Linked DNA regions of Stegostoma tigrinum. Each later gene encodes a partner of the first gene's protein in a complex. Links are inferred from orthologs where the notes say so. Each region holds a gene or a part of one and is shown on either strand. Other genes may lie near its edges. The genes, in order: serine/threonine-protein phosphatase 2A catalytic subunit alpha isoform, ppp2r3b, arpp19a and ppme1.

Region 1 (7,144 bases):
TTGTTTCCGATTACTACTTCTCCAGCCTCATCTTCCAGCAGTCCAATGTCCATCCTTGCCTCTCTCTTTAAAAATGACTTTTGCAACATTTTATATCACTAGTTAGCTTAGCATCATATTTCATCTTCTTCCCCACTTGTTTCTTTCTTAGTTATCCTCCTTCTGGTTTTTGAAGGCTTCTCAGTCCCTATGATTCCCACTAATCTTAGCCAAAATTTTTGTTAGATAATAAAATGTGAGGCTGGATGAACACAGCAGGCCAAGCAGCATCTCAGGAGCACAAAAGCTGACGTTTCGGGCCTAGACCCTTCATCAGAGAGGGGGATGGGGGGAGGGAACTGGAATAAACAAAATTTTTGTTTTTACTTTTGCTTTTCTGCTGTCTCTGACCTCCCTTGTCAGTCATGTTTGCCTTGTCCTAGTCATTATCCTTGTCCTCCTCAGTGTGCTTTTTCCTTTCTGGGGATGAATTTCTGCTAAGACTCCTGAATTAACCCCAGAAACTCCAGTCATTGCTGCTCCACTGTTTTCCCTGCTAGGCTACCTTTCCAATCAATTCTGGCCAGCTCTTCCGTTATGTCTTTGTCGTGACCTTTTTTCAATTGTAATATCAATATATCTGATTCAACCTTCTCTCTCTTAAACTGCAGGGTGAATTCTATCATATTATGGTCACTGCCCTTTAGGGGTTTCTTCCCCTTAAGCTTGCTAATCAAGTCTGCCTCATTACACATCATCAAATCCAGAGCTGCCTATTCTCTAGTGAGCTCTACCACAAACTGCTCCAAAAAATCTCTTGAATTCCATGAATACTTTTTGTTGGGATCCACTGCCAGCTTGATATTACCAGTCAACCTGCTCATGATGTCCCCCATGATTATTGTTAATAGCATCTTTCTTACATGTTTTTTCCGTCTCCTGTTTATTTTCTGCCCCATATCCTGACTATTGCTAGGAGGCCTGCACGTTAGAGTCTTTCTTTCTTCACAAATTGTCAACTCTAACCCCAACTCAGATTTTGGAAAGATGGCAGCAAAGTAGGACGCTCCACCTGGAGCCCCTCTGCTCCACCTGTTCTTTTTCTTTCTTTTCAGCAATCCTGGAGCAGTGTGCAGAGAAGCAGTCCCTGAACAATGCGAGGGGAAATGAATCCCAGAGCAGCGTGAGGGGAAACAAGTCCTGGAGCATGTGAAGGGAAAGGAGTCCCGGAGCAGCGTGATCGGAATGAGTCCTGGACCAGTGCCACTGGAAGCAGTCCCGGAACAGCACGGGGGGAAACAAGGGCTAGAGCAGCACTAGGGGAAACGAATCCCTGAGCAGCGCGAGAGGAAGCAGTCCTTAAGCAATGTGAAGGGAAATGAATCCCAGAGCAGGACGAGGGGTATGAGTCCTGGAGCAGATGAGCGCCGGTCGGAGTGGACTGGAGGCTTGGAGCAGAGAGAGGCAGTTGTTAGACTAGGTATTCTGACCACATGCTGAGCTGCTGCTGTTTGGAATTTTTTATTAGACGGTAATGTCAATTGTTTAACTATGTCATAACTATCACATTTCTAATTTTTTTGGACACTGTAAGTAGTGCTAATACTTTTCCTTTTATTCCTGTTTTATGTTCAAGATTTGTACCTATGTAATTGTAAGATGGCGCCATTCTATACTTCTGTACCGGAGTACATGTGACAATACAAGATATTCTATTCTGTTCAGCCTTTACATCTTTAAACTCTATCACTAGAGTTATATAGCATGAAACAGGCCCTTCAGTCTAACTCGTCCATGCTGACCAGATATCCAAAATTAATCTAGTGCAATTTGCCAGCATTTGGCTCGTTTATCTCTAACCCATCTTATTCATGTACCCTGGATGAACACAGCATCCAGCCTCACATTTTATTATCTTGGATTCTCCAGCATCTGCAGTTCCCATTATCACTATTCATGTACCCACCCAGATGTCTTTTAAATGTTGTAATTGTACCAGTCTCCACCACTTCTTCTGGCAACTCATTCCATATACACATACGACCCTCTGCGTGAAAGAGTTGTTCCTTAGGTCCCTTTTAAACATTTCCCCTCTCACCTTAAACCTATCCTCCCACCTCAAGCCCCAACCCCATCTCCTACCTACTAACCTTATCCCGCCCCCTTGACCAGTCAGTCCTCCCTGGACTGACCTATCTCCTTCCTACCTCCCCACCTACACTCACCTTTACTGGCTCCATCCCTATCTCTTTGACCTGTCTACCTCCTCTCCACCTATCTTCTCCTCTATCCATCTTCTATCCACCACCCCCTCTCTCCCTATTTATTTCAGAAATCCCTTGCCTTCCCCCATTTCTGAAGAAAGTCTAGGCCTGAAACGTCAGCGTTCCTGCTCCTCGGATGCTGCTTGGCTGTCTGTGTTCATCCAGCTCTACACCTGGTCATCTCTTATACCTATGCCCTGTAGTTTTTAACACCCTACCCTGTGAAAAGAACTTGGTTATTTACCCTAAAAAAATTGCCCCTCATGATTTTATAAACCTCTATAAGGTCACCACTTAGCCTCGGATGCTCCAGTGAAATTAGCCCCAACCTCTTCCAAAAACCCAAACCCTCCAACCCTAGCAACATCCTTGTAAATTGTTTCTGAACCCTTTCAAGTTTAACATCTTTCTTATAGCAAGGAGACCAGAATTGAATGCAGTATTCCAAAAAGGCCTTACCAATGTCCTGTACAGCGCAACATGAACTTTCAACTCCTTTGCTCAATCAATTTAACTTCATTTCTTTATTTATAAGGCAACCCCATTCCCTCTGCCCATCTCCTGTCCTTTCGACAGGATGTATATCCTTGGATATTTAGTTCCTAGCCCTGAATCCCTTGCAGCCACACCATGCCTACAACATCATATCCAATTTCCATCTGCACGACAAACTCATTTACCTTGTTTCATATACTGCACGCATTTAAGTACAACATTTTCAGTCCTGCATTCACTGCCCCCCTTCTCATAGTTGTCCCCTTATCTGTTGTGCTTGGAGTTTCATTCCTGACGCTTTCCATACTCGCTGTCCTGTTACTTGGTTCTGGAAACTTTAATGGCCTCTGCAACTTTGAACACCATCCCTTAAAATTTTCTATAACTTGCCATGCAACAAAACCCACCCCCACTTCCCTCAGTTTGTTACTTTGATCATAGCTGAGCTGGTTTCCGGAAAATACATATATGATCCAAGCATAGAATCACATACCTATTCACTCATATTTTATATTGTGGTCTGTTAGACTAAACCACTTTTGTTTAGCACCATTTTACACTCCTTCAGTCGAGTTTACTTCCAATCATTCATTAGATGACAATAGGCTAGATTCTTTTTAGGCCATATAGTGATGAGTGACTTGTTGGCCTATACAATAACAATGGACAGTGGTGTTGAACCTTACAGTGACTGCAGAAAATGATGTTGAACTATATAGTGACCTTTGGTATGTTGGTCTATACAGTGACCATAGACAGTGATGTTGGACCATACAGTGACTGTAGATGGTGATACCAGGCCATACAATGACTGGGACAGTGATAATGGACCATACAGCGACTGTAGATGGTGATACCAGGCCATACAATGACTGGGACAGTGATAATGGACCATACAGTGACCATTGACAATGCTGTTGGACCATACAGTAAGTGTCAAGAGTGATTTTGGACTGTAGAATGGTCATAGACAGTGAGATTGGACCACTCAGTGACCATGGACATGTTGGTCTACACAGTGACAGTGAACCATACAGTGACCACGGACAGGGATGTTGCACCATCTTGTGACTAAACAGTGATACCAGATATACAGTGACTATGCACAGTGACGCTCGACTATACAACGGCATGAACACTGACAGTGGACCATATAGTGACCATGGACACTGTCACGAGATCATATAGTGACATGGACAGTGACACTAGACTATATTGTGACATTGGACCATAGTGACCATGCACACTGACACTAGACGATAGGATAGAGTTAACATGGACAGTAATAATTGACCACACATCACTCTATGCCGCTGCGACTGTGTTGGATCCGTGCACATGCGCTATCCTTCATGCTCCCCTTTCCCGGTTGGGGGAGGGAGGGGAAATGCACGCGCCTGCGCAGAGCTCATTGCAGCGGGGCGGCGGCCATTTTGTGGGATAGAGATCCAGAGCCGGAGGGAGACAAGGGGTTTGATCAGCTCCCGACGGCTCAACTACCAACGATCTTCACAAATCTTGTTCGGCAGTTTTTTTAAAATAAAGGAAAACTTATACACATTTTCCAAATTCAGGGTGATAAAACTGCTCCTTGATAAAGATCCGTCCTGTTGCTCCAGCGGGTACTCGGGTAAAAGGGAGCAATGGATGAGAAGGCGTTCACCAAGGAGCTGGACCAGTGGATCGAGCAGCTCAACGACTGTAAACAGCTGACCGAAAGCCAAGTGAAGACGCTATGTGAAAAGGTGAGGCCGCTAAACCAGCTCTATCTTAACCCTCCTCGGCGAGTGGCTCGGTGACTGGTCGCCGTCCCCGGTGGGCGGCCTAGTGCGCGATCCTCGGCGGAAAATGTCGGCCGCCTCCGGTTAGCGCTTAACGCGGCTTCCTCACTTGGGAGTTCCTTAACCCTGGCTCTGAAAAGAATGATCCGCCGAAAGCACGAGAAACATGGGTTTGTTTGTCGATGGCTCTGAGGTCAGGGGGAGCCGGCTTCTCTCTGCCGCAGAAAGTCGGCTTTCACGGCAGACCGACCTAAAATGGCGCCTTCCGGGACTGAGTTTCCAGCAGCCGGAGCCCAGCAAAATAAATCCCGTTATTGTTCCAAATAATGACCATTAAATACACCCATTCTCTGTCCTCGCCTCATCCCCAAATAGAATATTAACCATTTACCGTATGTCATATCTCAAGTGTAGACCTTTTTGGAACTGTTATTTTTATTTTCGTTTTTGAGTTCTGTGTGATCTTGTAAAATTGTAATGTATCTTAGAATGGTATTATAAGTGCGATATTAGTACTGTTACTCATTGAGTATTTAATCCTTTTTTTGTGTATAACTAATGTTACGGAAAGTGTACTGTTTGAGTAGTACGTAACAGCAGAGAGCAGCAAGAAGCGTCTTGAATGGATTGAACTGATGAAAGAAAATGGCATTTTGTATTGGAAGTTGTGTAGCACAGTTGCTTTTGGGTATTTCACTGAAGTATCGGTGCTAATGTCAGGTGTTGTTTTGAGAGATTTCAATCATTTTGTTATGATTGACGTCTTTGTAAATCAACTATTTTCGTACCACTGGCTGAAATTTGGGAGTAGATCATTCTTTAGCCATCGAATGCCTTTCCTTGGTTTGTCATAGTCTTTTGAAATTACACCATTAAGCAACAATGGTGTACAGGAAGGTGTGTGCTGTAACAACAAATTGACGTCATTGGATGGAATGCACATGCTTGCATTTTCAGTCCATTGTTTTCTTAGTAACTTTGAAAACCAATAAAATCAGCTTTTTTTTGACTGCTACCATTCTGCAATGTTTATCATGCGTTTGAAAGAAAAAGTCCTTAACAACATTAAATCTAAAAGTACTAAAAAATTTGACACCAACTCCTAATGTGGAATTCCAAAGTCAGAATGTGATTGGCTGCCTTAAGAATGCAAGTCTCGATCACATTATCAAATTGTTCAATTGTGTCATGAATTTTGTTTGATCATTAATATGATTGAAAGTTATATGTAATTTGAATTAACTGGATATTCCTTTTGGAGTGGCTTTGTCATTTTGACTTAAGATTTTTTTCTGTCTATCTGTAATTAGCAGTGAGTTCAAAAATTACTTCTGACCTCATTAATTCTAGCAGTCAAGCTTAGAAGTTGACCATTTAATGTTGACCAGTTTTCTCCAGTGTATATAAGTTTTAAATGTTTGGATTGACACATAGTTACTCTTATGGTAAAATGTATCTGTGCTTGGATGGTAGAAAATGATACGATTAATAAAATCAAATATGAATTTCCTCACTGACCAAAATGGTGAAATTCCTTCACTTTGCTGTTCAACCAAGACTATCCTCTTTCCGCCCCAGCACCCCCCCATCCTCCTCCGTTATGCAAAAAGGTAATGATTGACTTGTGACCCAACCTTCAGTTTATTCAGATTATACTAAAGGGGATTCCTGAGATAGAGGGCAAAGACTGTTAAGGAAGCAAAAGTGAGATTCTATAAATGGAGACTGGAAATATTCCAGATATTTCTAATCAAGCTGATCAGGTGGGACTTGAATCTGTGTCCTCTGGCTCAGAGGGTGGGACAGTATCACTGAGCCACAAGACTTGCACTGGCAGTATTGCATTTGTAGTCAGTGAGCACACGGTAATAAATGATTGTAACCATGTAAGTTAACACAGGCAGCAGGGTGTTTAGTGACCTTGTATTCGTGTGGAGTAGAACTTGGGAGATCATGAGTACGTTGGAATATTAATAAAGGCATGAAAGATGGTACAGTAGCAAATGAGATAAGGGTAATTTTAGATTGTTATGAAGGTGGGAAATGTGGTTGCACAAATGCAAAGTTGCTGGAAAGCTCAGCCGGTCTGGCAGCATCTGTGAAGAAAAAAGTGTTAATATTTCAGGTCTGGTGACCCTTCCTCAGAGCTGGACCCAAAATGTTGACTGTTTTCTCCTTCACAGATGCTGCCAGACCTGCTGAGCTTTACCAGCAACTTTGTTTTTGTTCCTGATTTACAGCATCTGCAGTTCTTTCGGTTTTTACAATGTCAGAAGCTTAGCTTGGGAATCAGCTGCATTTTAGTGTTGTAGTACCATGCATTGCTACTCTTCAATATAACAAAAGCAAAATACAATAGGTGCTGCAGGAAATCTGAAACTGATGTAGAAAATGCCAAAAATACAGAGGTTCGGCAGCATCTGTGGAGTGATACAAATGAGTTTTTCTGGTAATGTTCTTTCCGGCGGACAGATTTTCGTTTAAAAACTTGGTTTTAATGTTGCAGTGCATATTTGCATATCCTGTGGGTAAATTTGTTATGTGGCTGCCCAGGTGAAACATGGGATATTGGTGTTGATGCTAGCTTCAATTTTTGTTTTCTGCTCGCTGGCAGTTTGATTCCCT
Region 2 (7,262 bases), on another chromosome or scaffold:
CTTTTTGCATTTTTGTGGAGAGAATAACACACAGATAACTGAGTCCAAAAGGGAACGTCCCTTGCACCATATCCCCATGGTAATTTGGCATAACTGAAATGCCCCAGATACAGATTCAAACACATCATCCATAATGTGCAAACATAGAAAATTGTAGCAAGAGAAAGCCTTTCAACCCTTTGAGCCAGCTCTGCCATTCAACATGATCAGGACTGATCATCCAATCCAGTACCACTAAAGTGGATAACCTCTCATTTATCCAGTTAAACTTTATCTGCCATACACTCACTCACTCAAATTGTTCAAATCACATTGAAGCATCTCTGCACTCTTCTTGCAGCTCACCCTCCCACCCAGCTTTGTCTCATCTGCAAACTTGGAGATGTCACATTTAGCTCCCTCGTTTAAATCATTAACATATATTGTGAATAGTTAGGGTCCAAGCGGTGATCCCTGTGGTACCAATAGTCACTAGCTGCCATTTGGAATACAAACTTTTTATTCCTATTCTTTGTTTCTTGTTTGCCAACCAGTTCTCAATCTACGTCAGTACATTACCCCTAATCCCATGCGCTTTAATTTTGCATGGTAACGTCTTATGTGGGACCTTATCAAAAGCCTTCTAAAAGTCCAAGCAAAACAAATCCCTGGCACTCCTTACAACAGTACTTGTTACATCCACGAAAATTTCGAATAGATTTGTCACGTATGATTTTCCTTACATAAATCCATGCTGACTCTGTTCAATTCTGTCACTGTTTTCCAAATGCTCTTCTAATAAATCTTTTATAATGTGCCTTAGACATTTCCCTACAATCACATCAGGCTAACTGGTCTATCCCTGTTTTATTTCTACCTCCTTTTAAAAACTGTTTGGTTACATTAGTTACCCTCCAAAGTCTACAAAATCTGGAAAGATGATCACCAACGCACCCACTATTTCTATGGTCATTTCCTTACATAATCTGGGATGTAGATTATTGGACCCTACAGATTTATCAGTTTTCAATCCCATCAATTTACCCTGATTTTCCCATCTGATTTCCTTCAGTTCCTCTGTCTCACTACACTGTCTTTCCCAACAGTTCAAGGACATTTTTTGGGTTATCCTTTGTGAATACAGAATGAAAATAATTATTTAATTGATCTGCCATCTCTGTTTTCTATTATAATAACCCCTATATCTGATTGGTGGCTGCTTCAGAGTGCCGGGGCCCTGAATTTGATTCCACCCTCAGGTGACTGTCTGCATGGAGTTTGCACGTTCTCCCCGTGTCTGCGTGGGTTTTCTCCAGGTGCTCCAGTTTCCTCCCACAGTCCAAAGATGTGCAGGCTAGGTGGATTGACCATGCTAAATTGCCTGCAGTGTTCAGGGATGTGTAGATTATGGGTCTGGGTGAGATGCAATGAGGTTCGGTGTGGACTTGTTGGGCTGAAGGGCCTGTTTCCACACTGTAGGGTTTCTATGAAAACTACACTTGTCTTTACAAGTGTTTTTTTTTCTTCACATAGTTATGGATGATCTTACAATCAGTTGGTAAAAAGATACAAGGGGCAGGTCCTTACCTCTGGGCTAAAAGGCCTGGGATCAAGGCCCACCTACTCCAGAGGTTGTCATGGTATGTTCTGAACAGGTTGATTAAAATCATCTGTAAGGAACCACTCCTTGTGGCAAGCTAACCAGTTTCTAACTTGTGAGCTAATATTAATGTGTACTTACATGCTACACCTCTTGATTTTTGCCCTCTGAAGTTTGTGCGCAGCTGCAATGTCCAAACATGTATATCAATGTGTCAGTCATGCAGTTCAGAAGAAACACTGCTTACACTCAAGATAATAAAATGTGAGGCTGGATGAACACAGCAGGCCAAGCAGCATCTCAGGAGCACAAAAGCTGACGTTTCGGGCCTAGACCCTTCATCAGAGCTTATTCCAAGATAATAAAATGTGAGGCTGGATGAGCACAGCAGGCCAAGCAGCATGTGCTCCTGAGATGCTGCTTGGCCTGCTGTGTTCATCCAGCCTCACATTTTATTATCTTGGAATTCTCCAGCATCTGCAGTTCCCATTATCTCTGACACTGCTTACACTCATGTATGTCTCACAGGAGGGTGCCACATTACATCAGTAATATAAACAGTCATTAAGGACTATGTATTAAAATTATTCTGTTCAACAAGACAGAGCCTCTCTTCTCCTGAAGGCTTTAAATGAATAGTCTTCTCCATGTGGAATCACTAAGTGTAGACTATTAGCAATAAAAAGAGTTGATGGCAGTGAATCTGCCCAAGGCATCTCAGATGGCCAACATAAACCATGCATATAGCAACGCAGATTTTGTAATATAGAACATGAATGATATAGAATTCTTCCTTTCACATTTTTGACGAAGGAGGAATTTCTTCCGTTATAGGGTGATGAATCTGTGGAATACTTTACCATAGAGGGCTAGCAAAGTTGGGTCATTAAGTACGTCCAAGGTTGGAGCAGACAGACTTTGTAAACTAAGGGAATCAAGGGAGATAGAGAAAAGGCAGGAACGTAGAATTGAGGATTATAGATCAACCATGATGTCATTGAATGACGGAGCAGACTCAATAGGCCAAATTCGATTCTGCCCGCAATTAAAAATAATCATGGCTGATCATTCAGCTCAATACACTTTTCCCACATTCACCTCATAATATTTGATTCCTTTAGCCCTAAGAACTATCTTCTTCATGAACACATTCAATGTTTGGCCTCAGCAGTTTTCTGTGGCAGTGAATTCCATTGGCTCACCACTCTCTGGAATGGAGTTGAAGATTATCAGATCAGCCAAGATCTCATAGAATGGTAAAACAAACTTAATGGGCTGAATGACCTAATTCTGCTTCTACAGCTTATGGTCTCATGGAATGAGTGCCTCCTGAGTTGCAGGCAATCACTGATTTGATGAAAATGATTTAGAAATTCTTGAAAGAATGATTCTTAAAAGGCTTGAGTTAAGCATTTGGAAAGAAAATTAATTAGAGACTAAAATAGAGTCATCACAGTTCTACCAGATAACAGGGCTGCTTTCTCACTCAGAGCTAGTAATAACTGCAATGCTGGAGTCAGAGATAACACAGTATGGAGCTGGAGGAACACAGTAGGCCAGGCAGCATCAGAGGAGCAGATTTCTGAAGAAGGGTTGTGATGTCAACTGTCCTGCTCTTCTGATGCTTCCTGGCCTGCTGTATTCCTCCAGCTCCACACAGTGCTACCTTAGGGCTGCTTTCTCAGATATTTTGTAACAACCTGTTCAGAGATGTTATGACACACCTCTGGGTCAGGTGGGGCTTAAACCCAGACCTCCTGGTCCACAACAGCCATCAGGGCTACTCTCTCATTACAGGTGAAATGTTGAGGACAGCGATCTGAGGTGATGCAGGTTGTTGAGTCTAGGCTCTGCATAACAAATCAACCATCCAATGGTATCAATGTGGACTTCACAAGCTTCAAAATCTCACCCCCCCACCGCATCCCAAAACCAGTCCAGCCTTGTCCCCGCCTCTCTAACCTGTCCTTCTTCCCACCTATCCCCTCCTCCCACCTCAAGCCCCACCTCCATTTCCTACCTACTAACCTCATCCCGCCCCCTTGATGTCTGTCCTCACTGGACTGACCAATTTTCTCCCTAACTTCCCACCTACACTCACCTTTACTGGATCCATCCCTGCCTTTTGACTTCTGTCTCCTCTCCACCTATCTTCTCCTTTATCCATCAATCCGCCTCCCACCCCTCCCTATTTATTTCTTCCCCTTCCCCTCCCCCAATTCTGAAGAAGGGGCCAGACCCGAAACGTCAGCTTTCCTGCTCCTCTGATGCTGCTCGGCCGGCTGTGTTCATCCAGCTTCATACACTTTGTTATCTCCGACCATCCAACCAACAGACTTAACCGAACCACTCAAGAAGGTCCAGAAACGGTGCAAGTCCTGAAATTGTGTGATATGTGCACATGCAGCGAGATTGGAAGACATGGCAATAAAAAAGAGCCCCCTTCATGGAAGACGTGCTGATAACCTGGAGCAAGGTGGCACCCTGAATGTCCCGGGCTCTTGCCACGTGCCACAACAAGGCGTGTATCATTTCTGCAAAGGCGGGAGATCCTCGCGTTGCCGGGGTGACCGAGGCGCGCGCGATTTGGAAGGGGGTAGCGGGGCGGAGGCGCTGTTCACGCGAGACCCGTTGTGCGGTCTGGGGGTGGGAGGGGCTGAAGCGGGGGCGGGGGGAAACAAGAGGCGTGAGAAGCTGGCTGACAGGCCTTTGGGGTAGGAAGGCGAGAGCAACAGGTAAGGTGAATGTGCCGTAGCTCTCGGTGTTGAGTTACATTAGAGTACCCTCCTATTCCCGTTGCCGTGTGCCATTCCACAGAGCGGCCTGCAGTAGCAGCTGAGGGCTGGATGGCATGGCAACCAAACGCCAGGCTTCAGTTCCCCCACATAGGCCAGCCCCCTTTTCTACGCCTCCTCCCTTTCGTATCATGTTTGCACTTCAGTCAGAACCATGTTGATTTTACGTTTTGTTTTCTAATCCACCTCTTCAGAACTGTTATGACAGCAACTCATATTTCGCTTGGGAACGCTGCAGCCCAGTGGTATCAACGTGGGCTTCACAAGCTTCAAAATCTCCCCTTCCCCCACTGCATCCCAAAACCAGCCCAGTTCGTCCCCTCCACCCACTGCATCCCAAAACCAGTCCAGCCTGTCTCTGCCTCCCTAACCAGTTCTTCCTCTCACCTATCCCTTCCTCCCACCTCAAGCCGCACCTCCATTTCCTACCTACTAGCCTCATCCCACCTCCTTGACCTATCCCCTCCCTACCTCCCCACCTATACTCTCCTCTCCACCTATCTTGTTTTCTCTCCATCTTTGGTCTGCCTCCCCCTCTCTCCCTATTTATTCCAGTTCCCTCTCCCCATCCCCCTCTCTGATGAAGGGTCTAGGCCTGAAACGTCAGCTTTTGTGCTCCTGAGATGGTGCTTGGCCTGTTGTGTTCATCCAGCTCCACACTTTGTGGTCTTGAACCCCAGCCTCCTTGTGCAGAGATAGGGACACTGCCATTGCACCACAAGAACCCTGGCAGCATTCTTTTAAAAAGGGATTTTTATAGGATGAAGGAAGTCGTTTTTAGCAAATCAAGTATTTTATTTGAAGCAAGACTCTGATTTTAGGGATGATTTCTATAGCTTTTTGACTTTACAAAAAAAACTACCCCCCCGTCCCTCTATACTGTGCCTAGTCCATGAATTTCCATCTTATTTTGCCCTGAATTAGTTGAGGGTTTACTTGTACCTCATGATTTTAAAACGACTGCCTTGCATATCCATGTTGAAGATTTTATTTTGTTTTGGTTGCCGTGTATGTGTTTTGCATAAAAGTGTAACTGTTGGTTTTTGTAAAATTATGTCTTGATGTAATGTTGATATAATTGATATTTGGGTGAATCCACCAATTTGAAATTGTAAAGAGCCTTTATAATATAACTCCTTTATGAGATGTGGGCACTACTGGATGGTCTAGCATTTATTGACCATCATTTATTGCCCTTTACAACGAGGTGACAAGCCATTTTCTTGAACTGCTGCAGTCCCATTGCTCTAGGTGGACCACAAAGCAGATGCAGAGGTATACAGCTTGGAAACAGATTGTTTAGTCCAACCCATGCTGACCAGAAATCACAATCTGACCTAGTTCCATTTGCCAGCATTTGGCCCATATTTCCCTCACTTTTTGTTCTCTGATGAAAGGTCTAGGCCCGAAATGCCAGCTTTTGTGCTCCTAAGATGCTGCTTGGCCTTCTGTGTTCATCCAGCTCCACACTTCATTGTCTCCGATTCTTCAGCATCTGCAGTTCCCATCATCTCTCTCCCCCTCATTCCTTCCTATTCATATACATATCCTTCTAAATGTTATTGTACCCATTTCCTCCTCTTCCCTGGCAGCCTCTTGTATACGTGCCCGTCCATCAATGTAGCTATTAGGGAGGCAGTTGAGGGCCAGTGATTTAATTCCAAGGATTTTCCTGTACATCTGCTGCCCTTCTTATAGATGATAAAATCATTAATAGGAGCAGGAGTAGGCCATTCAATCCCTTGAGCCATTTTGTAGGCTCATAGTGGATTCTGTTTCTGTTTGCTAGATCAACTAACAGCAGATTTCGTGGGATTGAAAGGTGTTAGGAGAGTTCCTGTGCTGCAGCTTGTATATGGTATATATTATATGCCACTTGCATAAGAAGTAAAAGTTGAGGGTGGTGGATGGGTGCTTACTACGAAGACCACTTGGTTCTGGATGGTGTTGAGCTCCTTGTTAGAATTGCACTCATGAGAGCAGAAATAGGATATTCAGGCTATTGAGTCTTCTGTGCCATTTGATGGGCTCATACTTGATCAAATAGCCGTGTGTTCCACTTTCCTACCTTTCCCCCATAACACAGGATGTCCTTGCTGTTTAAAAAAACTGCCTATCTCAGCTTTGAATGTATTTAATGACCCAGCCCCGGATATACTTAACAACCCAGCCCTGACTGCCCTCTGAAGTAAAGAATTTCACAGATTGCCCAATCTTTGAGAAGTGGGAAAAGATACTCCTTACTGCTGCCCAAAATGGGTGACCCCTTTCTCAGATTATATCTTCTGGTCTGGACTCTTCCCACAAGGGGAAACAACCTCTCCACAACTACCCTGTCAAGCCTGTCAAGAATCTTGCATTTCAGTGAGGCCATCTTGCATTTTTCTAAACTCTAATGAGTACAAGATACTTCAGTTAAATGCTGTCTTAAAGTTATGGGAAGTTACTCTTCCTTTATCTCTTGAGGACGTCAAGTTTATTTAAGAACATAGAACATTACAGCACAGTACAGGCCCTTCGGCCCTCGATGTTGTGCTGACCTGTCATACCGATCTGAAGCCCGTCTAACCTACACTATTTCATGTACGTCCATATGCTTATCCAATGATGACTTAAATGTACTTAAAGTTGGCGAATCTACTGCCGTTGCAGGCAAAGCGTTCCATTCCCTTACTACTCTCTGAGTAAAGAAACTACCTCTGACACCTGTCCTATATCTTTCACCCCTCAATTTAAAGCTATGCTCCCTTGTGCTCGCCGTCACCATCCTAGGAAAAAGGCTCTCCCTATCCACCCCATCTAACCCTCTGATTATCTTACATGTCTCAATTAAGTCACCTCTCAACCTTCTTCTCTCTAATGAAAACAGCCTCAAGACCCTCCCTCCA
Region 3 (7,578 bases), on another chromosome or scaffold:
ACCAGCATTTGTTACCTGTCCCTAATTGTCCAGAATGTAGTTAAGAGTCAACCACATTGGATTGATGATACAGGGCTTTTAATTTATCAGACTTCCTTTCATTTTCATTCAGCTGTTCATTCATCTTCATGAATTGTTCAGAAGAATTCCCTGAAGACTTCTTCAACTCAGAGATTGTATTCTCATGCTTAGATTTATTTTCACAAACAGCATGGCAAGACTCTTGCTAGACAGTGGTGAGTTCCCAACTGACACTCATTATTGCTTGATAATCATCATGTTATCACTCTAACTTGCAATAGGTTGTGATCTTATCAAACCATACAAACTAGCAGTTTGGATAATTTCACATTGGAAACCAGAGTGGGTCCTTCGCCGGTTCAAATCACTACTTGCTCCAAAAGATTGCAATGTTAGACACTGGGCACAAAATCTTGGGCATTCTCCATAGGCACCAGCCACACACGCCCCAAGTCTTTAGATGCTGACAGCCAACATGTGCCAGCCTCTATGAACCCCAGAGGCACATCTCTGATTTACATACAGGACTCTTCTGCACATCAATGTTACAGCTCAGACTGTCCCAGTTACTCATGTTTGTAATGCTGTAGTAAGGACACTGTGCATTTGGGGATAGGCATCCAGCTCATGGACTGGGCCAGGTTGCATCACCAAGATCTTTGCTTGTTCTCATAGTGCCCACTTGCTCTGAGCCTATCTGTATATTCACAACATCCCTGCCATGCATTATCTTGCCTTAGGCTATTTTGTGCTTTGCCTGCACCCTGTTCTCCCTTCACCCACTATTACACCACCTGACTTGATTCTTTCTGCCCTGTTGTGGTCTCTTATATCCCTGAAATGAGAGAGATGCAGATATTATAGATGATGAAAGTGGGGGTGGCTGAGTGGTTAGCACTGCTGCCTCACAGTGTCAGGGACCCAGGTTTGATTTCCCCGAAGGGCAACTGTCTCTGTGAAGTTTGCACATTCTCCCTGTGTCTGTGTGGTTTTCCTGCAGATGCTCCTGTTTCCTCCTACAGTCCAAAGATATGCAGGTTAGGTGGATTGTCCAGGTTGAATTGCCCGTAGTGTTCAGGGATGTGTAGATTAGGTGGGTTATAGGGGGTTGGTCTTGGGTGGGATGCTCTAAGGGTGGTGTGGACTTGTTGGGCTGAAGGGCCTGTTTCCACACTGTAGGGATTCTATGGATGTCACAGCTGTTACTGTCGATGCAGCTGGAGAGCTGCCCTGAGCAGAGGTCGCGCAGGGTTAGTGTTGTCAGGGGTCACGGTGGGTGTCAGCGAGGGAAGATATTGCAGGCAGTAGTGACAGTGATTGAGCATGACCCTTGGTGGGCGGTGGTTGCAGTAACAGTGATAGAGTGGAGGTTGCTTTCAGAGGGAAGATGATGCCACTTTCACTGGCAGAGAGGAGAAGGACATTGACTTTCTTTTTGTAGTGCTAGTCCAGACAGCCGAACTGCTCTATTCTGGGTGGCAAGCTTGGAGCAGATTGGCATGGTCTGGTGTATGGCCTCCCCTGCAGGTCCCTGGGGGGAGAACTCATCCCATCTGTGTCCCACCTTGTCCATCAAAACGTCCAGGAACATGTGCATAAAACAGGCCACCAATTTATCCCTGTCTGCCATGTCTGGGTGAAATGTCAGGAACCATGAGGGCAACTCTGGAAAGGCAATGCTTCGCTAGAGCTCAGCCCGCCTTTATATGTGGCACCAATATCAGGGATAATGATCAATTCCAGAATCTCCTGTGAATGGTACATTGCTCTGGAAATGTCACATGACAAGGTGGGGCAGAAGTGAACACGATATTTGCCATAAGGGCGTGAACACTAATTAATGCAAAGTGTTTGGTAAGATATGGCAAGAAAACACCCTCGTCCTTAAAGCAAGAAGCACTCCACTAAACTTGACGAGACTTGCATTTAGCCAAAAAACATAAGATTCAGCAAATAGATTCTGTGGGCTTCTGTCTAAATGACATGAATTCTAATCACTGGATATGAATGTTTAATTTGACGCTGGATTGGTCTTCGAATGTGGTACATATCTTTTAGGATCTTTTAGCTCTTCAGCCATTAATTCTGATGTATATGTCTGTATAGACCTTCATACCCAACTACTAAGTAAATTTTAAAGGCTTGGTTTTCTGAATTTGACATACATAAAACTAGAAACTACATGCTATATGCTGTTTAAACATTCCAAAATTCTGTTAGGAGGTCTGCTGTGTCCCAATTTAATCAAGATAATTTTTGCAGACATTCTGAAAATATGCCTGTGGCTTTTCTTGCTTTCTGTTTTGCAGCTACACTTGACTTTGTCAAGTTAGCTAAACTGCTTCTTAAAAGGGATATGTCTGCTTTTCTATCAGCTATGTTATTAAAGCTCTCTGATGCTGTAGCAAACAAAACATTGAGAGTTTTCTTATGAACTTTAGCAAGACTTGAGTGTTGACCATTTGTTTCACTTGTAAAATAACTTACTTGCTAACTAATCAAGCATAATAGTCCTCTTTGGCTAGATATTTTCATTGACGTCCACAATGTCATATTAATGATAATGTTCAACTAATTAGTCACTGGCCATGGACTGATTAACTCTACAGATCATTGATTTAAACAGGAAAGCACATTATAAATTTTGAAGAGATGTTACAGGAAATTGAATGATTTGTATGTGCAGATTGCAAACCTACAACAGACTATCTGGCAGACAGAGTCTTAGCATTGCATGCAAACAACACTTGGAGTCTTTAAAGGTGAACTTTCTTACAGGTAGGTTACACATGCAACAGGAAGCAAGCTAGTAACATTCCCTGTCATTTGTTTTGCTGCTGTGCAGACATTCAAGTTCTGTATGGGATAGTGGTATCTGGAAGCAGAAGTCATTCATCAGCACACAGATCAATGGTCGTGAAGCATCCCGGCAGCTTTTCACCTTACAGGAAATATTGCTAGCCAGGACAGCATTGGAATAGTCAATCTCGAGTTGGCAAAGGAATTAATAAGGGTTTCAGCAGATGATCTGAAAGTAAAGTGGCATCAGGCAGTGTAATGGGGCAGAAGTAGGTAGTCCTGGGATTGTTTGGATGTTTATCTCTCATCAAAACAACACCCAGGTTATGAATATTCTTGTGAAGATCAAACAGTTGCTAGAAAAAGGGATGGTGATAGTGTCTTAGCCTTCCCAGTCTCTCATTTCTGCTCATCCAGGCATCATAGAATCCATATGGTGCAGAAAGAGGCCGATCAGCCCACTGAGTATACACTGACCCTCCAAACACCCCCCCCCCAACCCTATTCCCGTAACCTCACATTTATCATTGCCAATCTGCCTAATCTGCACATTTTAAGACTGAGGCGGGGAAACCAAAGCACCTGGTGGAAACCCATTCGGACATGGGAAGAATGTGCGGACCCCACACAGATAGTTTCCCAAGGCTGGAATGGAAACCTGGTCCTGTGAAGTAGCTAATCACTGAGCTGCTGTGCTGCCTCTACAAATCCTGATTCCCTGAACAGTAATGGTGAGACTGTTAAATCCTAACCACTAGATCACCAGGGAAGGCATAGTTGTGTACAAACAATTACATGCAGAGTAATGTGTCATTTAATTTATTCCAAGCTGTTTACTTTATTCCAAACATTGCTACTGCGTAAAAATGCATTTTTTGGTTATGGTTCCACTATTAACATTGACAGTTCCCTTAATCTTGAGGTACAGTGGCTAGCACTGCTGCCTCACAGTGCCAAGGACCACGTTCGATTCCACCCTCGGGAGCCTGTCTGTGGGGAGTTTGCATGTTTTCCACATGTCTGTACAGTTTTCCTTTGGTTTCATCCCATAGTCCAAAGATGTGCAGGTTAGGTCATTTGACCAGGCTAACTTGCCTTATAGTGTCCAGGGATGTGCAGGCTGTGTGGGTTACTTTTGGTAAATGTAGGGCTAAAGGGATAGGGTCTATGGCCTTCAGAGGGACAGTGCAGACTCAATGGGCCAAATGGCCTCTATCCGCACTGTAAGCATTCTATGATTTGACTTGCATTTTCACTGATAACCCATTCCCATCTCCGTTTGTTTTGTGATTTTGTTCTCTCATCTTTCCTGCGTTCCGCCAAATAACTGATGGGAGGGAAATCCAGTAGGAAAACACAGTGATATTTGAAAATGAACTTTCCACCGGGAATGGCGACATTGTACAGTTGACACTGAAAAGCAAAATCTAATTCTAATTCTACTGGTTGTATTGCTCCCCTACTTCTAAACACGATGAATCAGACCATTGTGTTTCATTGTCTATTGTTGAGGGGGAAAGGACAAGAAACTACAATTCCCAGAAGCAACCGCACTTGACGTCACTAGACGGACGTTGACCTGATGCGAGGTTAGGACGAGAAGAAAATCCTTGATGTTGTCAAATGAAAATCAAATAAAACTAAATATACATTTAGGTGGATTTAGAAAAAGAAAGGTTGTTATTAAAAATCACTGAAGTAGTTTCTAGAATATGTGACGTTATAAATGTGGGCGGGGTGACGGGAGTGCGCCTGCGCAGACGGCAGTGCGGAGGGATACGCTTCGGTTCAGATTCGGTTATCCAGCGCTCCCTCTGAGACCAGCGGCGATGTCATCAAGGAACGAGGTAGTGAGGCGGTCTGAGGAAGCTTCGGGTGAAGAACGGCAGGTAGGATACCGCGGCCCGCACCACACCGGCATGGCACCCGGGGGGGGGGTTACCGCGATCTGGGGGCGAGGCCGAGGCCGAGGGTCCCTATTGCTGCAGGCAGGAGGCTGGCTATACTTCGATCGCCGGCTGCATAAAGCTGCATTAGAGGCAGCGTCGCGCCAGCCGCCCACTTCCCCCTTGGGGAGGGCTGCGCTTAGGCCTGTGCCCGCGGATGGGGGTCTTCTCTTGGAGTTGCCGAGGGAGAGTGGAGCGTTTCAGATGGAGGTTGAGTGTGATACGGTGGGGAGATGGAGGGCGAGGTCTGAAAGGGTATGGGGTCGGGTCGGGGGAGGCGGAGGTAGTGGCGGTAGGAAAATAGGATGGGCAGGAGGCTGGGGAGGGTAAGGGAAAGGAAGGTTTTTTGGGGGGAGGGGGCGGGAGATGGGGGAAGGGAAGGTTTTGTTTTGGGGGGAGGGGGCGGGAGATGGGGGAAGGGAAGGTTTTGTTTTGGGGGTAGGGGGCGGGAGATGGGGGAAGGGAAGGTTTTGTTTTGGGGGGAGGGGGCGGGAGATGGGGGAAGGGAAGGTTTTGTTTTGGGGGGAGGGGGCGGGAGATGGGGGAAGGGAAGGTTTTGTTTTGGGGGGAGGGGGCGGGAGATGGGGGAAGGGAAGGTTTTGTTTTGGGGGGAGGGGGCGGGAGATGGGGGAAGGGAAGGTTTTGTTTTGGGGGGAGGGGGCGGGAGATGGGGGAAGGGAAGGTTTTGTTTTGGGGGGAGGGGGCGGGAGATGGGGGAAAGGGAAGGTTTTGTTTTGGGGGGAGGGGGCGGGAGAGGGGGGAAGGGGCGGTTTTGTTTGGGGGAGAAGGGGGGAAGGGGCGGTTTTGTTTGGGGGAGGGGGAAGGGGTGGGGTTTTGTTTGGGGGAGGGGGGAAGGGGTGGGGTTTTTGTTGGGGGGGGGGAGGATAGGATGTGGTTAATTATTGGGAGAGGCAAGTGGCTGGGATGGAGATGCTGCTGGAGAGTGTGACATTGAATTGGTGTTAAATGGTTGACACTGTAGGTCCTGTTGTATTTGTACCCTGGTCCCCACTCTGCTTCTAACCATGAGGAGTATTAGCCATTTTATAGAGAGTGCTGCTGCCTCCATCTCCTGTGACATAATAAACTCTCTGCCCAATTGGAAAGATCGATGTGCAGGATTTCATGTGTGTCTATTTGCTTTTATGTTTACTGTATCTGCTGAGTTAACTTTAGGCCCTGATTTTGCTGATGCACTGCTCCTGAGTACAGTGAGCAGAATCACCTGCATTCCGATATAACGTGCTGTTATTGCACAAACATGAATTTAATTGGATTTTGCTGTTTTGCAATCTGATTTATGATGGAAAATGAAGGTTTTAATGTATTTGTTAATTACTTTCAAAGAACGTAGAAATTCAGCCAGCTGTTGTCGCGTTGGCGTGCTCCCACCCAGTCTTTTACAAATGATCATAAGGAATTGTGACAAGTTCTATTGAGTAGCTAATCACTAATAACCTGCACACTAATGCTTTTGTTTTGATTCTCCCAGTGTCTCTGCTTCACATTTTATTGACAACTTCAAACCAAGCATGACCATGAACTAATTGTGTGACATGTGACAACAATAAATCAATGTCATATACTGTACAGGCACATTGTACCATACAAAGTGCATCATGGTGACAAAACAGTTCAAAATACAATGTTCCAGGTGCAGAGAAAGAACAGAGTTATCATTTGAGAAGTCTGTTAACAGGGAGGCAGCTGTTCTTGAATATTTGTATATGGAAGAGAGTGTAACCAGGGTGGGAGGGGTCTTTGATTATGTTGGTTTCCCCAAGGCTGGATGGAAGGCTAGTTTGCATGATGAACTGGACTGTTTTCACAACTCTTTTGTAGTCTCTTGTGGTCTTGGGTAAAGATATTGCCAACCATGGTTGAAGCATCCAGGTAGAATAGTTTGTCGTGCATCTAGAAAAATTGAGGATCTCTGTGGGCATGCCATATTTCCATTATCTCTGAGAAAGTTGTGCTTTCTTGGCTGTCATGTTGATGTGAGTGGACCAAGACACACTGGTAATCATCACTGCCAGGAAGTTGACGCTCTCAGCCATATCCACCTTTGCAATGTTCATGCAGATAGGGCATGCCCTCTGCTCCCTGGAGCCCATAACCGCTACCTTCCTTTTTCTGATGTTGAAGGAGAGATTGTTGTCTTTCCACCATGCTGCTTAAATACTGAATTTCTTTCTTGCATTCTCTCTTGTTTAAAATCTGGCCTACAATGGTGTTGTCAACAAACTTCTAAATACAGTTAGGGTGGCATTTGGCCACAGTCATGTGTATATGGATATTAAGTCCATCAAGTTGTGCATGACGTCTTGGCTTGGGCTAAGTGGCAATTAACATTTATGCGCAAGTTCCAGGCAATGACGATCTAGATGTTCTGATGTTAAACCTAGTAGATGTTGAAAGCGACTTGGTGTTCAGGTGCATAGATCTTTAAAATGTTTCGGACAGGTACAGAAAATAATCAAGAAATCTAATGGAATGCTGGCCTTTACATCTAGACAACTGGAATGTAAGGATGTGGAACTTTGCAGCTTTACAAAACCCTGGTTAGACCTGACTTGAAATCTTGAGCAGATCCAGGTAACGCACGATAGGAAGGTTTTCTTGGCCTTGGAGACAGTGCAGCATGTGTTTAAAAGAATGTTACCTGGATTTCAGGGGTTACGTTATGATAGATTTGTGTAAGTTATGCCTGCTTTCTGTCGAATTTAGAGGGCTATGGGATAATCTGGTCAAAGCATTCCATCTTCTTAATAAGAAAAGACAGGGTAGATAATGAACTGTTTCCACAGGTTTG
Region 4 (7,194 bases), on another chromosome or scaffold:
GGAAAGTCTTAGGGCCTGGATGGGGGTGAGGGGGCAGGTATCGGGGCAGGTGTAGCATTTGCTTCGGTTGCAGGGAAAAGTGCCAGGTGTGGTGGGGCGGGAGGGGAGTGTGGAGCAGACAAGGGAGTCATATAGAGAGTGGTCCCTCCGGAAAGCATGTAAGAATGGGGAGGGGAAAAATGTTTTTGGTAGTGGTGTCAGATTGCAGATGGCGGAAATGTCAGAGGATGATGTGTTGGATTTGGAGGTTGGTGGTACTTGAAGACGAGGGGGATTCTGTTTTGGTTATTATTGCAGATAGAGGGTCTGAGGGATGAGTTGCGGGAAATGCAGGAGACACAGTCGAGGGCATTTTTGATCACTGTGGAGGAGAAGTTGTGGCCCTTGAAAAAAGAGGATGTCTGGGATATTCGGTAGTGGAATGCCTCACCTTGGGAGCATATGCAGCGGAGGCGAAGAAATTGGGGATAACGGATGGCCTTTTCACATGAAGGTGGGTGAGAGGAGGAATATTCTAGGTAGTTGTGAGAGTCAGTAGGCTTATAATGGATATTAGTTTCCAGTTGGATGCCAGAGATGGAGACAGAGAGGTCCAGGAAGGAGAGAGAGGTGTCAGAGATGGTCCAGGTAAACTTAAGGTTGGGGTGGAAGGTGTTAGTAAATTGGATGAACTGTTCGAGCTCCTCGTGGGGAAAATGAGGCGGCGCTGAAACAATCATCAATGTAACATAAGAAGAGATGTGGTTTAGGGCCAGTGTAGCTTTGAAAGAGGGATTGTTCCAGGTATCCTACAAAGAGGCAGGCATAGCTTGGGCCCATGCGGGTACCCATGGTCACTCCCTTTGTCTGTAGGAGCTGGGAGGAATTAGAGGAGAAGTTGTGGGCGAGAACAAGTTTGGATAAGCGGATGAGGCTGTCATTGGAGGGGAACTGGTTGGGCCTGCGTGACAGGAAGAAGCGGAGGGCCTTTAGGCCATCTGCATGGGGAATGCAGGTGTATAGGGACTGGACATCCATTGTAAAAATGAGGTGTTGGGGACTGGGGAATTGGAAGTTCTGGAGGAGGTGGAGAATGTGGATGGTGTCATGGACATAGGTAGGGAGTTTCTGGACCAAGGGGGAGAAAATATAGTCCAGATAGATGGAGATAAGTTCGGTGGGGCAGGAGCAGCTAGTCCCCACTTCCCTAACCATTCCTCCCTACTCAAGCCCCACCCCCATCTCCTACCCACTAACCTCATCCATCCTCCTTGACCTGTCCATCCTCCCTGGACCCACCTATCCCTTCCCTAACTACATTCATCTTCACTCACTCTAACCCCACCTCTGACCTTTCTGTCTCATGTCACTCTATCTTCTCCTTTATCCATCTTCTATCCACCTCCCCCTCTCTCCCTGTTTATTTCAGAATCCCCTTCCCCTCCCCATTTCTAAAGAAGGGTCTCAACTTGAAATGTCAAACTTTCCTGCTCCTCTGCTGTGTTTATCCAGCTTCACACTGTTATCTCAGATCCTTCAGCATCGGCAGTTCCTACTATCTCTGCAAGAATTTCTGCAGCCATGGTTTTAGAGATGGAATGCTAATGGAATTTTTTATTTACATTTGGGTCAGTTTTAAGACAAGTTTTATGTTGAAGAGAATTTGTCTGCTTTCAGTAAGAAGCGTCAAGAATTGACTTTTCTTTTGCTTAGGGAACACACATAGCTTGGAAAACTTCTAGTTTCAGTTTGCAGAAGTCCTCATTGAAGTTAGATGTTTGTAATAGTTTATCCTAGAAAAAGGAGTTTAGAACAATTTGGAAATAGCTTAGATCAGTGTAATAATTTTAGATTGAAAATTCCAGAGCAGAAATGTTTGGAATCCTGCAGAGGCTATTCAAAATCAAGGAAGTACAAACTCATCAATGTGAATACTCTGAGGAAACACTACAAAACTGTCAAAAATTAGAATTGAAAGCAACAGTCAAGTCAAAACTATCGATGTAATAGAGAAGAAAACTCTATCTGATGTTTGAGTACTATAATGTGATACTGTTGGGATACGTCAGATTGTATTTTTACAGTGCTGTGAAATCTTTTAAATTGTGTCATTTGTTAGAGCTTGGTGTATTACATTTTTTTCTTTGCTGTAGTAAACTTCTGTTCATTGTCAAGACCAGATCTGCAGTGCTTGTGTTCCAGTGATGGACTATCTTGTCAAATAAAATCTGTCAAGCCAGATTACTTGTTCAACAATAACATCAGTTGGGATCGTGACAATGATCACATCCTAATATCTTTTATTATGTTTCCTAATCAGAAGAAAACTGAGAGGTACTTTTGTTTATTGTTTCAAGAGATGTAAATATCACTAGTCAGCATTTGTAACCCATCTCTAGATATCTTTGAACTGAGCGGTTTACTCGATCACCTCAAAGGGCAGCTAAGAGTCAACAGCATTATTGTGGAGTCACATGTAGGCCACACCATGTAAGGATGGATGATTTTCTTCTCTGAAAGGCAGTTATGAACTAGGTTTCATATTTCCATGATAATAAATAGTTTGTTTCACAATTACCATTACTGATACCAACTTCCAATTCCAATTTTATTAATTTACTTTAAATTCCACCCACTGCTCTGATGCGATTTGAATCTATGTCCTGAAGACATTAGCCTGGGTCTTTCTATTACTAGACCAATGACATTTGTTACAATCCAAGATGAGGCAACCAAATTTATGTCATGATCGTTTAAGGAAACAATAATGTTTTGTTTTAAAATAGATGTAATACTGGGCAGAATCAATGTAATAAATGGTGGAACATCCTCTGCTTTTGCTATATTTTCCACAGGCTGTTGGCTTACATGGCACAAATGGAAATGGACAAATGGAATTTGTCATACATTACTTTGTATCACCTGCCTTTAATGTAATGACTTGCACTGATAAATCTTAATGAGCCGTTTGCTTCATCATCTTCTAGCTAGTGCAGACATACGAAAGGCTAATTACGGTCCTTCTGCACCTTAATAATTCTGTAAAGTTAGTGACTGAGTGATAGTTTCATAATAATGTACTTCCTGTTAGTGCTAATTATTAGACTTTCTGGGGTGATTAATTTACAAGAAGGTATTTAGAAGCAATTAGCAATTCAAAGTTAACATTTTAAACAGGTAAAATTTGATAAATTTTCTTCAAACGTTTTGTTGACAGTTACCTAACTGCCTTAAAATGAAGCAATTAATAGCTAGGATGGCTAGTTTTTTTTAAGAAATCTAGGATAACTGGATCAGGCAAAAAAAAGGTGACAGAAGATAAGGTAGGATTGTGTTGAATTGCATAGCAGGATTAAGACCCTTAAAAGACTGCTCCTTTTTTAAAATCTGTGAGTAGAATAATTAAAATTTGCAACATCATAGCTGTCATTTGGAAATTCCCTTCACCCTCCTGTTTAGCCTAGTGCAGTGCAATCTCCACATCTATTCAGATATGCCTTGCTTCCATTGCTGCTGGTTTTGGAAGAACCTCTTGGAAGTCCCACGTTCACACTGGGCATCCTGTCTGCACTATTGGGCATCTCACAATTTAGTGAAAGGTGTCGCATGGAAAATAACGGGTATTCTGTAACGAATATGCACAGCATGGAATAGAGTATCTGGAATCACTCATCGGGGCAATAATACGATGATTTAGATTCCGTGTTCTGTTCAAATTCGACTAACTTCTAAATTAACTGAGCCAGTTCAAACAGCAATGTGGAAGAAGAGTCATACTGGATTCGAAATGTTAATTCTGCTCCTCTTTGCACAGATGCTGCTAAACCTTCTGGGTTTCTACAGCATTTTCCGCGTCTGTTTAAGATTTCCAACATCCGCAGTACTCTTCTTATGCAGAATTGTTCGTTTACCCCGCCCCCTCATGATGGCAATAAACAGCCATCAAGCAGCTGGCAGGACCAAAACTTCCGTTAAAATTCAAACTGGTAACCAGAGCAACGGTGCGCCGGAATCTAAATATAAAACCTATAACTTCGACAATACTAAACAGATATCCGGGGTGCTGGTTAGCCATTACGTAATGTGATGAATGGTATTGTGGGGATTGTAGTCCTCTGCCTGTGCCGTGCTGTGTCTAGTTGGTGATAACGGGCACTGGGAGGACTACAAGTCCCAGCAGCGAGGCAACTGTGCAACGACCGCCTCTCTTATCGGAAGAGTAGGCCATCTTCAGGAATATAGACAGGACTTTAAAAATTTAATCCCAGTGTTCACTACTGGCGAGGATACTTTGGTGTTTATGTGGCGCCCATAAGTGCAAGACCGGAGCAGCCGCTTTTGAAGAGCTGCGGCATTACTCTGAGAAGATTATTAATTTCATTCTTTTAAAACAATTTATGTCTACGAAGCATGTCTTCTTTAGAGAAAGAATTGTTCCTGAGCAAATTGCCTTCGCGACCACCGATGCCGTCAGGTCCCCAGCATGGAGCTAAAATGAGAATGGGGTTAGTGTGCATGTAAGGTTTCTAAATTCAAACCGTGATTTCTGTTCGTTTTTCCTGCTGACTGCGTACGCCCAGTCAGTTTTTGAGGTGATTTTAAAGCAAGCGGAACTATGCTGTGTGTTTTTTTTGTAGTTTGGTTGATTTTGAGTTTTTTTAAAAAAATCACCTGTCATGTATCGTGTAAATGTACAGTTAAATAAGCTTAACCTTGTTTGTCATTTCAATACGTCTTCAGCAGAGACGAGTAGGATGGATGGTGCAAGTTTAACTTAGGTTTTTTTTAATTGCTTGCAGTATGGACTTCAGTACGACCCCACGGATTGATGCTTTCTTCCTCCTTTTTAAAGCAAAGTGTAGTATTAATTTTTTTTAAATGTAAGTGGAAAAATTCAGTTTTTATCTGTAACACATGCTAAATACAGCTTGTGATTGAACAATATGAAGGGAATACTTTATGACAAGTAAAATACTGTCATTTATGGATTTCTGAAATAAAAACAGAAAATGCTGGAAACTCTTTCGAGAGACAAACAGAGTTAATATCGCAATCTATGCCATTTTAGTTCTTTTTTCAGAATCTAGAATTGGGGAGCATAATTTCAGCATTCAGGGGTTACCTCTTTAAAACAAAAATGAGGAGTGAATCTTCAAAGAATCATGATCATTGGAATTCTCTATCGCAGAGAGCTCTGGAGGTTGAGTCATTGAATATGTCAAATGCTGAGGTGAAAAGATTATAGGAAAGCTGAGGGTTACGGGCATCAGATATATAGGCAGAGTCATTACTAAGATCAGATCAATCTTGAATGGTGTAGCAGACTCCAGGGGCTGTATGGCCCACTCCTGTTATCTCTTTTATATGTTAAATTAGCAACAGTGACAGAGCAGATTGCTAGGAAGAGACAACAAGGTGCAGAGATGAACAAACACAGCAGGCTAAGCAGCATTAGAGGAGCAGGAAGGTTGACGTTTCAGGCCCTAGACCCTTCTTTAGAAAGGGAAGAAATTGCTAGGAAAGACTGTTTTTGCATATTTTGACCCTTGTGTGTTTTGGTATTAACTGATTCTCTTGATGTCACTTCTGTGACGAGTAGCACACTAAGACAAGTATCATTTAAGTCTTTTGTCACTTAACTGTTGTAACGTTTTTATTGTGTTTTATTCATAATTAATTTAAATAGATTTTGCTAGAAAAGGAAGCTATTTAATGATTATTTATGTGGGATGGTCTTTGAGGTGAACTGAAATGATTTGGTATTCTGGTTGAGGCTGAATCTTTATGAAGAAAGCTGATTTTGAATCTAATTTATACCATTCATTAGAGTAGCGTTCATTTTGGAACAGCTTTAGCATTTAATATGCACCTAAAAAGTTTGTCTCACTACTTACCATGATGTATTGTTTTAGATGAGAAGATGATTCAACTGTCCTCTTTGTTGCTTGCAACAGCTATTTCTTTTCAACAATCGATTACCAATCCCTCACACCTACTCTCTTCCTGTTTTCTTGAATGAAAGAACAATAATTTTAATGCTACGTTTAAAGGGGAGACTGTCTGGTTTGTGGAGTACTTGAGATTGTGTAACCTGAGGCTTTGATGTGTTGTTTGTGTGTATCTGAATTCTCTAAGTTGATTTCCCCATTTGGCTTTTAACTGGCTGCTGTCTTTTGAAACAATGAGAATATGAACAAGGAAGGTCTTCTAGTTCTTGTTTATAATTCCATTTTTTTCCTTTTGTCTATTCTGGTCCTCAAAAGCTGTTATTGAACTATAGTTCAGTGTGTAATCTGGAGCCTGAATCCATTTTCTTTCTAAAGTGGTTAACTGGAGAGTGAGCTTTTCATTTCATTAAAATGTGAAGAAGAGATTTGATTTTCCTGATGCTGATTTAGTTGCCTGGTTTTGATGTCTTTGGACAAAATGGTAATTTCAGTGGTGATGAATTCATTTATTCTGCTCCAATTGAGACAAGATTTGAGACCTGTCAGGTGACCAGTGCAAACCAATTCATATTTCTTTCGTTCGTTCATAGAAAACAATTCAGCTATGAAAAATCTTTAGTTATGACAATCAGATGATGGAACTTATAATTCAGTAATCAAATTATTTAAAAGTCTGACATCAACAAGAACAATGCAGCAGTGTTGTTTGGCCTTTTTAACCACACTGATACCAAAACACAATGGAAAAGCCTGCTTCAGGCTCTCCCAACATACATTTCATGGAATACATTATCTTTAAATTGTTTCCAACAGTGATGGGTATGTAAAGAGTAATGCTTGGCCCTTGAGTTAAGACACTATTTTTGGCATCCATGTCTACCTGGAATGTGCAACTTGTAATTTGATTTTTACACAGTCCATGTAATATTAAATTTCCATCAACTGCATACTTTGCTGGAATCTTGGCATCAAAGCTGTATTGAAAAGTACCAGCTTCAATGGAAGGCGTAACTCATGAAGTGCATCATTCAGCCAGATCTTTGTTGAACTGTTAACGTTTTTATTTGTTGTTTGCTTTGTAGACAGCATATCTTTTTAAACTGCCAGCATCCAAATATGACACTTTACAAAATAGCAACAAATTACAACAAATAGGGATGGCACGGTGGGTCACTGGTTAGCACTGCTGCCTCCCAGCGCCAGATACCCAGGTTTGATTCCACCGTCAGGCGATTGTCTGTGTGGCATTTGCACCTTCTCCCCGTGT

Evidence for each region.
Region 2: the proteins of serine/threonine-protein phosphatase 2A catalytic subunit alpha isoform (region 1) and ppp2r3b are in contact, whole or in part, in a crystal structure (PDB 4I5L), measured with the Homo sapiens proteins. The link is inferred for Stegostoma tigrinum from reciprocal best matches to the Homo sapiens genes PPP2CA and PPP2R3B. Residues at the interface, in NP_002706.1 of Homo sapiens: Cys20, His63, Tyr91, Tyr92, Arg135, Lys136, Tyr267, Arg268, Arg294, Arg295, Gly296; in NP_037371.2 of Homo sapiens: Met410, Leu432, Asp436, Cys439, Gln440, Met441, Leu442, Asp443, Leu444, Lys446, Glu450, Gly451, Lys462, Leu463.
Region 3: the proteins of serine/threonine-protein phosphatase 2A catalytic subunit alpha isoform (region 1) and arpp19a are in contact, whole or in part, in a cryo-EM structure (PDB 8TTB), measured with the Homo sapiens proteins. The link is inferred for Stegostoma tigrinum from reciprocal best matches to the Homo sapiens genes PPP2CA and ARPP19. Residues at the interface, in NP_002706.1 of Homo sapiens: Arg89, His118, Gln122, Gln125, Val126, Tyr127, Tyr130, Asp204, Asp205, Pro213, Arg214, Gly215, His241, Gln242, Leu243, Met245, Tyr265, Arg268, Cys269; in NP_001293124.1 of Homo sapiens: Phe60, Asp61, Ser62, Gly63, Asp64, Tyr65, Asn66, Met67, Lys69, Ala70, Lys73, Ile92, Pro93, Thr94, Pro95, Leu98, Arg101.
Region 4: the proteins of serine/threonine-protein phosphatase 2A catalytic subunit alpha isoform (region 1) and ppme1 are in contact, whole or in part, in a crystal structure (PDB 3C5W), measured with the Homo sapiens proteins. The link is inferred for Stegostoma tigrinum from reciprocal best matches to the Homo sapiens genes PPP2CA and PPME1. Residues at the interface, in NP_002706.1 of Homo sapiens: His59, Arg89, Gln122, Val126, Tyr127, Asp202, Ile211, Ser212, Pro213, Arg214, Gly215, Ala216, Gly217, His241, Gln242, Leu243, Met245, Phe260, Tyr265, Cys266, Arg268, Cys269, Thr304, Pro305, Asp306, Tyr307, Phe308, Leu309; in NP_057231.1 of Homo sapiens: Gly84, Gly85, Met157, Asp181, Val182, Thr186, Ala187, Ala190, Ser193, Met194, Phe197, Leu198, Leu291, Trp298, Trp301, Phe302, Lys316, Val323, Asp324, Arg325, Leu326, Asp327, Lys328, Thr331, Ile332, Gln334, Met335, Gln336, Gly337, Lys338.

What each region holds. Positions count from the first base shown.
Region 1 is NC_081366.1:30,139,539-30,146,682, reverse strand, and holds the start of serine/threonine-protein phosphatase 2A catalytic subunit alpha isoform, read left to right. Parts: upstream 1-4,143; 5' UTR 4,144-4,381; coding exon 4,382-4,483; intron 4,484-7,144. UniProt on the Homo sapiens protein: Catalytic subunit of protein phosphatase 2A (PP2A), a serine/threonine phosphatase involved in the regulation of a wide variety of enzymes, signal transduction pathways, and cellular events.
Region 2 is NC_081359.1:98,680,005-98,687,266, reverse strand, and holds the start of ppp2r3b (serine/threonine-protein phosphatase 2A regulatory subunit B'' subunit beta), read left to right. Parts: upstream 1-4,247; 5' UTR 4,248-4,314; intron 4,315-7,262. UniProt on the Homo sapiens protein: The B regulatory subunit might modulate substrate selectivity and catalytic activity, and might also direct the localization of the catalytic enzyme to a particular subcellular compartment.
Region 3 is NC_081386.1:19,785,118-19,792,695, forward strand, and holds the start of arpp19a (cAMP-regulated phosphoprotein 19a), read left to right. Parts: upstream 1-4,577; 5' UTR 4,578-4,649; coding exon 4,650-4,709; intron 4,710-7,578. UniProt on the Homo sapiens protein: Protein phosphatase inhibitor that specifically inhibits protein phosphatase 2A (PP2A) during mitosis. Inhibition of PP2A is enhanced when ARPP19 is phosphorylated.
Region 4 is NC_081359.1:92,327,287-92,334,480, forward strand, and holds the start of ppme1 (protein phosphatase methylesterase 1), read left to right. Parts: upstream 1-4,176; 5' UTR 4,177-4,389; coding exon 4,390-4,496; intron 4,497-4,763; exon of another isoform or gene 4,764-4,859; intron 4,860-7,194. UniProt on the Homo sapiens protein: Demethylates proteins that have been reversibly carboxymethylated. Demethylates PPP2CB (in vitro) and PPP2CA. Binding to PPP2CA displaces the manganese ion and inactivates the enzyme.